Linked DNA regions of Danio rerio. The protein of the gene in region 2 interacts with the protein of the main gene of each other region in a pairwise test. Links are inferred from orthologs where the notes say so. Each region holds a gene or a part of one and is shown on either strand. Other genes may lie near its edges. The genes, in order: zc3h12aa and p4ha3.

Region 1 (4,201 bases), on a different chromosome or scaffold from region 2:
CTCATTGGCCAGATGTTGTCGAACATATTTCCTAAACTGCTTATTGATTGGTCAGAATTCACGTGCGGGAAAATGCCAATGAACTCCCGCAGGTAAACAAAACCGGCAGACACAAAATGTCGCTTTTTACTACGAAGGGACGACTGCGCTGACTGATTGTATGCCTGCTGTAGACAAGCTATACATTTCGAGAATGAAGCGCGGCCGCGGCTGGAAAACAGTGTTTTAATGCATCGCTCGTCACTTCAGGAGGAGGCGTGAATAAATTTAGCTAAACTGCGACATGGTCATCTTGCGGAAATATTACCATCGATCCATCATGTTTTCCTCTCTCTCTCTCTCTCTCTCTGTTGGTAAAGCGCTGTCAACAAATAGTTTTCTTCCATACACTGAAAAAAGTGTTGCATGGAGAACTGTTGCAAACAATTTAATTGTGTTGAATTTAAACAATCAAATTAAATTGAATAATGTTCAACTTAAATTGTTTGTTTAAATTCAACACAATTAAATTGTTTACAACCACTTAACGTAAAAAAATTGAGTAAATCCAAGGAATCATCTTTGAATATTTTTTTTCAGTGTATCCCATAATGCAAAGCGCATCGGCTTACGGCAGCTGAATTAGTCCAAAAGGCGCAGTACTTTTTGCGGTTGGACCTGTTTTAGTACGGATCATATTCTCACCACAATCGAACCGCTCCAGGGTACGTTTGAAAGCGTACCGAGACCACCTCTTCAAGCAGGTCTCGGTACGCTTATTTGGTCCGCTTTTGGTGCGCACTCGAGTATGATTGCTGCATTCTCACCTGCCCAAACGAACCGCACCAAAAGAAAAAACGAACTCTAGTGCGATTCAATCGAACTAAATAAGGCAGGTGTGAAAGCACCCTTAAGCAACTATGAACCCTTTTAAAAATAAAACACAAGGCTGTTTCTTTAAGGGAATTTCCTCAGGCTCAAGCTGTTAGTCCCCTTATGGCAAATATTTTCATGCATTCCTCTAGAGAGTGCAGAGACTCACTCTTTTTTTAACATCTGCCATGCAGTCTTTTTCTGTGATCCACAAGTTTTAAACAATCAGAAGAACTCTCCGCTGGATTTGAGTTTGAGAACTTCTGCAGCCAGCTGCTGTGCATCTTTCAGCTGAGGGAACATGTCCATAACTTTATTTACATGACGTGGGTTAAAAATGGCATAAAGCTTCTTCCTGACCTCCTCCCTTTCTTCTTGGAAAGCGTTGGACTGTGTCATGGCTGAATGCTGCTGGCTTCCGTAGACACCAGCAGACTGGGAACTACGGCTTGTTAAAGGCTCTGCTAAACCGGTCGCCTGTGTTAAGTAGTATGGGTAAGACCAGCCACCACAAGCAGGAAGACTGTAACTCTGGACAGGGTTAGGCAGAGGTAGAGAGCTGTAAGCAGTGTAATTTGGCTGAAGGCTGGAGAAATGACTAATGTTGTTATAATAATGGCCACCAGCAGGTACAGCAGGATTACCAGGCATTGGGGGATGACCAGATCTAATCCTGTGCAACTCATCAAAACTCTGGGATTGCTCTGAAAACTGGCTTTCGTAGGACCCAAGCCCAGAGTCGGAACTGAAAATGGATGGGTTTTTTGAATATGGTGCATGCAAACTGGTTCTGTCTCCCAAAGCACTGTATTGTCCAACCGGTGCAGTATTTAAGGGCTTTTTCATGGACATAATATCATCCCAGTAGTGGAGCAAGACATCCCTGCTGTCAGAGCTCTCGGGCTCCAAGCTCAGCTTCTTTTCCAGTTCTTGCTCCAGGGAGGGAGAGCAGGATCCAGGATCGTTTCTTGGGTATACTCCTCTTAGGGAACCAGAAACTCTGCAGTCCTCTTTAGAACCAGACAGTCTGGCATTTTCCCGAAGCTCATCGGCTAGAGAACGCTGGGATTGATTAGTGCGCTCTGGGTGGTAGAACTTACACTTGATCCCATATGTGCACTTTTTTCCTGAGGAGAAAAAGACAAATGTTTGCATCAGAGTTCCAACAGAATTTATTTTCACACCTAATCACAGCTACCTAAGAAAGATGACCAAGGTTTCTAGAAATTTACAGATATGATTCCCATCCTTAAAGGGATAAATTACCTCATAATTCTGTCATCATTTACTTATCCTCAACTTGTTTCAAACCAGTTTGAGTTTCTTTACTTTGCTGAACACAATCGAAGGTATACTTTTACATAGTATTTTTTGTTTCTACTATGGATTTCAATGGCGGTTTTTACCAACATTGAATAGCGTTGTCAAAAGTATCAAGTTCGGTACCAACTGGTATTCATTTATTCATTTTCAACTGCTTTTTCGGGGCCAGGGAGCAAGGGCAGCAGTCTTAGGAGAGAACCCCAGACTTCCCTCTCCAAAGACATTTCCTCCAGCGGGATCCCGAGGCGTTCCCAGGCCAGCCAGGAGACATAGTCCCTCCAGCGTGTCCTAGGTCTTCCCCAAGGTTTCCTCCCAGTGGGACATGCCTGGAACACCTCCCTAGGTAGGCATCCGAAACAGATCCCCGAGCCACCTCAACCAACTTTTCTCAATGAGGAGGAGCAGCGGCTCTACTCCAAGCTCCTCCCGGGTGACAGAGCTCCTCACCCTATCTATAAGGGTGCGCCCTGCCTCCCTCCCCTTTCGGCTGCTTGTATCCAAGATCTTGTCCTTTCGGTCATGACCCAAAGCTCATGATCATAGGTGAGAATAGGAACGTAGATTGACCAGTAAATAGAGAGCTTTGCCTTTCGGCTCAATTTGTACTGAAATAAAAATAATAATAATAAATTCCTGCTAACATTTAAGCGCTGTTTAGCACTTAATTACTGCTGATTGTCCATTGTATTCACACACTCAACAGAAATGACTGTGATTGGCTGTGAAGGTCATCAGCTCACTACTCTTTACCAAGTGCAAACACAGATACACAGACAAAAGCCTTGTACTGTATATCAGTTGGTCCATCAGCAGATCCCGAGTACGTCAGCTCATTGACAGATCAGCTGATCTACGCGGCTTTTCTTTTTGCCAATTAGCAGTGTTTAAATAGACACACAAATGTTAGCGCGAAATTGACATTTTTAAAATTTTGTACCAAAACGTACCAAACCTGATACTTTTGACCACCTAGATTATCTTGTTTCGGGTTCAACCAAAGAAAATAAATACATGAACATTTCAAACCACTCAAGCTTAAAGTAAATAGTGATTTGTTTTCTATCCCTTTAATAACTATCCAACAGAAAGAGAGCAGAAACAGATTCTGTGGTGTAGTTGTCACAAAAAAAAAATACAAAATGACTTTGAATGCTAAAAACAGGGCGAGTAGCTAAATGACTGCAATTACAGTGACGGTGTGAAGATTCTGCAAGACATGGAGTATTTTTCTGAAGAATTGGCTTGACAGTTGTAGATCAGGTAACCTCACACATTACCAAAACGTGTTCACAAGCTACTGCAGGGAGTTATTTGAATAATTTCAGCTATGTTTTTGTATTGTTAGACATGTCGCATGTTTTTTATTGGCATAATGTCTGTCTACTTGTTGCTTTGGCACACTCTCAAAGAACAGTTGGGTAAGTGATTTCGCCATCATAAGAAGTTACTGGAAGGGCTTAAAAATAATAGACATGGACACTAATAAAACCACTATAGTTAGAATAGATGTAGTAATGTTTACAGCTGTATTAGGTCTTGGTGATTCAATCCATTCCACCTCCATTTAGGTTTTGGGGCAGCATTATTATACACGGCACAATGAGGCACAGAAGTGTTGTATAAGTGCCTTGAAAAATGAATTAAAAAAGAATTTAATAACTTAACGCTACTTAAAATCTATAAAAATCTCAATGCATAGGTAATAGAAATGACACCCATTATGTTTTTTAGATCGGAGTCAGACATGGCCTAGAGTCAAACATTAGCATTTTATAAAATTATGCTCATACATTATTAAAACAAACATTATTTAGTTAAGAAAGAATTACTCTGCATCCTATTTACTAAAATATGAAATGTTTCAAAGCAAAGACCCCATATTATATAATTTCCTTATCACTGAATGGAAGCTTATCACTTGCCTACAAGATTTTAAATCTGGCTTAACTGTCTGTGATGGGGAAAAACCCATAATATGAAATCCAAAGCATGGCCATGATTAATGATGTTCATTGTTTATTGTGCT
Region 2 (3,825 bases):
CGCAAGCTTACGCTGCCAATTCATTGGCATTCATTGGCCTGTTCCATACTCTTTCAGACAAGCTGCTTCTGAACCGAATCCTCCCAATTCGTGGATTTTCCTAAAATCAAATCCACTAATAGCATTTCCGTTCCCCTCCTCGGGGAACAAGGGTTACTTTAGTAACCTTTGTGATCTTCACCTCCGTTGTCCTTGACTCTTTACAATCAGCAAGAACCACAGTTTCAGTCTGTGATCTTTTTTTAATGCTCTAGTCTAGTGAACAAAAAAGTTACCTACATCTTGGATCATCTGAGAGTGAGTAATTTAACTGCAGATTTAGTTTTTTTTTATAAACTATTCTTTTAAGTTGATTTATAACTAATTAATCCTAATAAACTAAAATGAAATTATTTGCTCATTAAACAGTGCAAAGCAATAGAGAAGTGTAAACTGAAATTAATTTGTTATAAATTATTATTAGTAATGCAGAAAGTACAGAATATACACAAACAAAATTCAAAAACAAATACCAGATTGATATTAGTGGTTGAGCAAGTTGATTTAAGCAGCCAAAACAAACAGATTGAATTTCCTTTAAGTGTCATTAGAAATTACATACTTAAGATTTACAACAGCTCCTTATTTTATAAGACCTTCTCCATGGTCCAAAATTCAGGCCATATAATTTTAAGTACAGGAAATTCTCTCAGTTGATCTCATAAGGAATTTAACTAAGATCCACACAGGATCTGCCATAACTCTTCTTCTTTTCACTTCTTTTCTTTTTGCGGCTTTTGTGTTTTTGTACTTTTTCAATTTGTTTTCCTATTCATATGGAGGCCATATCAAAAATAGCAATTATTCTTGAAATAATGTCTGAATTCTTTTCAATTACTACAGCTATGGAAAAAAAAATACACCACTTGAAAATGGCAAACATTTATAAATTATAGTATATACATTGATGGCAATTCTACAAATTTTATATAAAGCTTTTGTCATTTCTATATAATATAAGCGCTATGTACAATCCCAGATATTGTGTATTAATTTTTAGAAACAAAATACCAATGCTTTAACATCAGAATATTAAAAAAACCTGAATGTTTATCAATGATTATCTATCACTACAATTAAAAAAAAAATTCTTGGGAAAAATGATTTATGATCTAATTGACTAAACTTTTATATTATATATTGGACATTTTGAGGAAATGATATTTAACCCTCCTACACTGAAAAAAAATAATTCATAATTGATTCCTTGGATTTCCTTTTTTTTTTAAGGTTAAGTGGTTGTAAGCAATTTATTTGGGCTAAATTTAAACAAAAAAGTTTTTAAATTAAACACATTTAAATTGTTTCCAACAATTTTGCAGGCATCTTTTTTACAGTGTAGACTCAAATGATTTTTGCTGCTTGTTCAACTTACTTAAAATCTGTTAAAACAACAAAGTTTTTTTAAGGAGGGGGAAAGCTTACTTGTTTTATATTCAGATCACTTAAATTTGTAAAAACGATTAAGTTAATTTGTGAATTTGTGATGGGACAACATGGAGATTTTGTGTGGAACCCTGATTTTTTTTTACAGAGTAATAAATCCATTAAATACAGAGAAACTACGAATTGTCGAGTTGTCTCATAATACCGGCAGCTAGCTGTCTGTAACTCTCATATGGTTGCCCACTGAAGGTAAACAGAGCGGTGCCAGTCATTACCTAGATGCGAGACCACATGAGAAAGCTAGTATGTTGCCGGAAGTGGAGTTAGTGAGTCCAGCAGGGGGGGTCTGTCGTCTGTGTGGGTCCTAATGCCCCAGTATAATGATGGGGACTCTGTACTGCTCAGTGAGTGCTGTCTTTAGGATGAGACTCTCGGATGAGACTCCGAGACTCTCTGTGGTACAATTTCCCTCTCTCTGTGTGTAGACACCCATACACACTTATTCACACACATACAAACTCAACACAGAAAGGCCAACTGACCCAGCCAAGGCTCGAACTAGCAACCTTCTTGCTGTGAGGCAAAAGAGCTACCCACTGTGCCACCGTGTTGCCTTATGATTGTTATTATTATTATTTTCTATAGCAGTATGTGCTATCATAAACGCTTAACAGTTTAATACATGCACAAATATTTTTGTTACTGGTTTGTTTTTGCGTTTCTTTTGCTGGTGATGGGATGTTTACTATATGGCACTATTGTTTTGTGGTCAATTGTTCCATTATGTGGGCAGGTTGAAGTGGATTACAGTTGTGCTGCGTTGCCAGTTATAAACGCATGATAAAAGGATTCCTCATTTGTTCTATCGAGAGAAGCTTGTGTTGTTGCCTTGATTTAGGGTGCCTGATCGGTCTCCTCCAGCACCAGCATTTTTCTTCGTTTAAAAGATTATTTATGTGACCTTGTTACTTTAATTACTTTAATAATTCTTCCTTTTCTGAATTATTCGATTGGTGGCGTGGATTCTTGATTATGTTGCAGACTGTCTAGAGCCGGGCAGTTTAACATTTTTAACATATGGTATTGAATAGAACAATTCATGATAAATGTGAAATAAATCATCTTGCCCTGAATCATAAGGTACAACAAATATAAAAGTGAAATGGTACCTGAGATCCTTTGGTTTGGCAGAGCTGTTCATAGGCATTCCTGGTTCTCAAATAAATGCCGTCGGGCCTTTTCAAAGTCAAACCACTGCTAGTAGCAGGTAGATTTTCATTTAGGAGTTTCTCGTACTTCTCCACATTGAAGTGTACCCTTCTGTTCATGGGATCTTGAAAACAACATTACTTTGTGATTTTTAATTTTTGAAAAATCTCCCAGATTATTTAATTTTACAAATGAAGTTTTGAAACAAGTAAAATAAATGGATTTGTTTTATTTTGTTTCTCACTATGTCACTTATTGCTAGTGTCTGTTAGAAGACTGCAGAAGATTACCATGAAGCAATAGTTCCCGGGAGAGACTGAGGGCGTGGGATATGTTTCCTGTCTAAAAAACAAAAACAAAACAAAACCTAGAAATGTTACTCAACAAGTCTAAAATGTTCACTGTATTTCAAAATACATCAGTAAAAAAATATTTTGCCCCATTTGCACCATGTGTTCAAATCTTGCGTGATCAGTCTTATGTGATCAGCCAAGATACCTTGCTGTTTAGATCTGCTTGGAAAAAGCATCTCCTGTGAGGACTTGTTATCCAAGTTTTGAGTTGGTTTTTGATTTCCTGTGAATACATACAGTACACCCACTCACTGACTTTTAAACGCTTAATCCATAAATGCATTACATAATTGGGTCTTTAGTCAACAGGTGTCCTGACATTTTATTTTACCTATCAGATTATGCTACCAACACTGTATTTGAAAGGTTCTGATATTGGGGTTAGGGACTTAGTAGGTAAGGGGTATATTACAGCTTCATATCACACTATTCCCCAATCACATCTACTCTGGTACCGAATTCTGATGGGTGGCATATTGTGTTATCAAAATGTGCTACCTACTTTTTGAATGGGAGGTAGGACAATCTCACAAGGTTAGACAAATCGACAGAACACCGGACTTATATATATCTATCTAACTAAGATTGATATCTAACTGCTACCAGTCGATCTTTATGGTTTATAAAGCACTTTTTTAGGAACAACAGTAGTTCACCAAAGTGCTGTACAGGTGAGCTCAATAAAATAATAAAACATTATGAAATATATTATGATGGAATAAAAATCATGAATAAAATAAGCTTAAAAAACAGCTCTGACACATAGACTTAAAACAGATAGTAGGCCTTTCTAACATGTTAAGACAGACTGTTCCAAAGTCTTGAGCCCACCACTGCA

The links.
Region 1: the proteins of p4ha3 (region 2) and zc3h12aa interact in binary tests that used the Homo sapiens proteins (3 or more experiments, as listed by UniProt). The two-hybrid records come from large-scale screens. The link is inferred for Danio rerio from reciprocal best matches to the Homo sapiens genes P4HA3 and ZC3H12A.

The regions. Positions count from the first base shown.
Region 1 is NC_133191.1:4,213,569-4,217,769, reverse strand, and holds the end of zc3h12aa (endoribonuclease ZC3H12A), read right to left. Parts: intron 1,980-4,201; coding exon 1,078-1,979; 3' UTR 655-1,077; downstream 1-654. UniProt on the Homo sapiens protein: Endoribonuclease involved in various biological functions such as cellular inflammatory response and immune homeostasis, glial differentiation of neuroprogenitor cells, cell death of cardiomyocytes, adipogenesis and angiogenesis.
Region 2 is NC_133190.1:16,744,538-16,748,362, forward strand, and holds part of p4ha3 (prolyl 4-hydroxylase subunit alpha-3), read right to left. Parts: intron 3,211-3,825; coding exon 3,133-3,210; intron 2,977-3,132; coding exon 2,925-2,976; intron 2,759-2,924; coding exon 2,595-2,758; intron 1-2,594. UniProt on the Homo sapiens protein: Catalyzes the post-translational formation of 4-hydroxyproline in -Xaa-Pro-Gly- sequences in collagens and other proteins.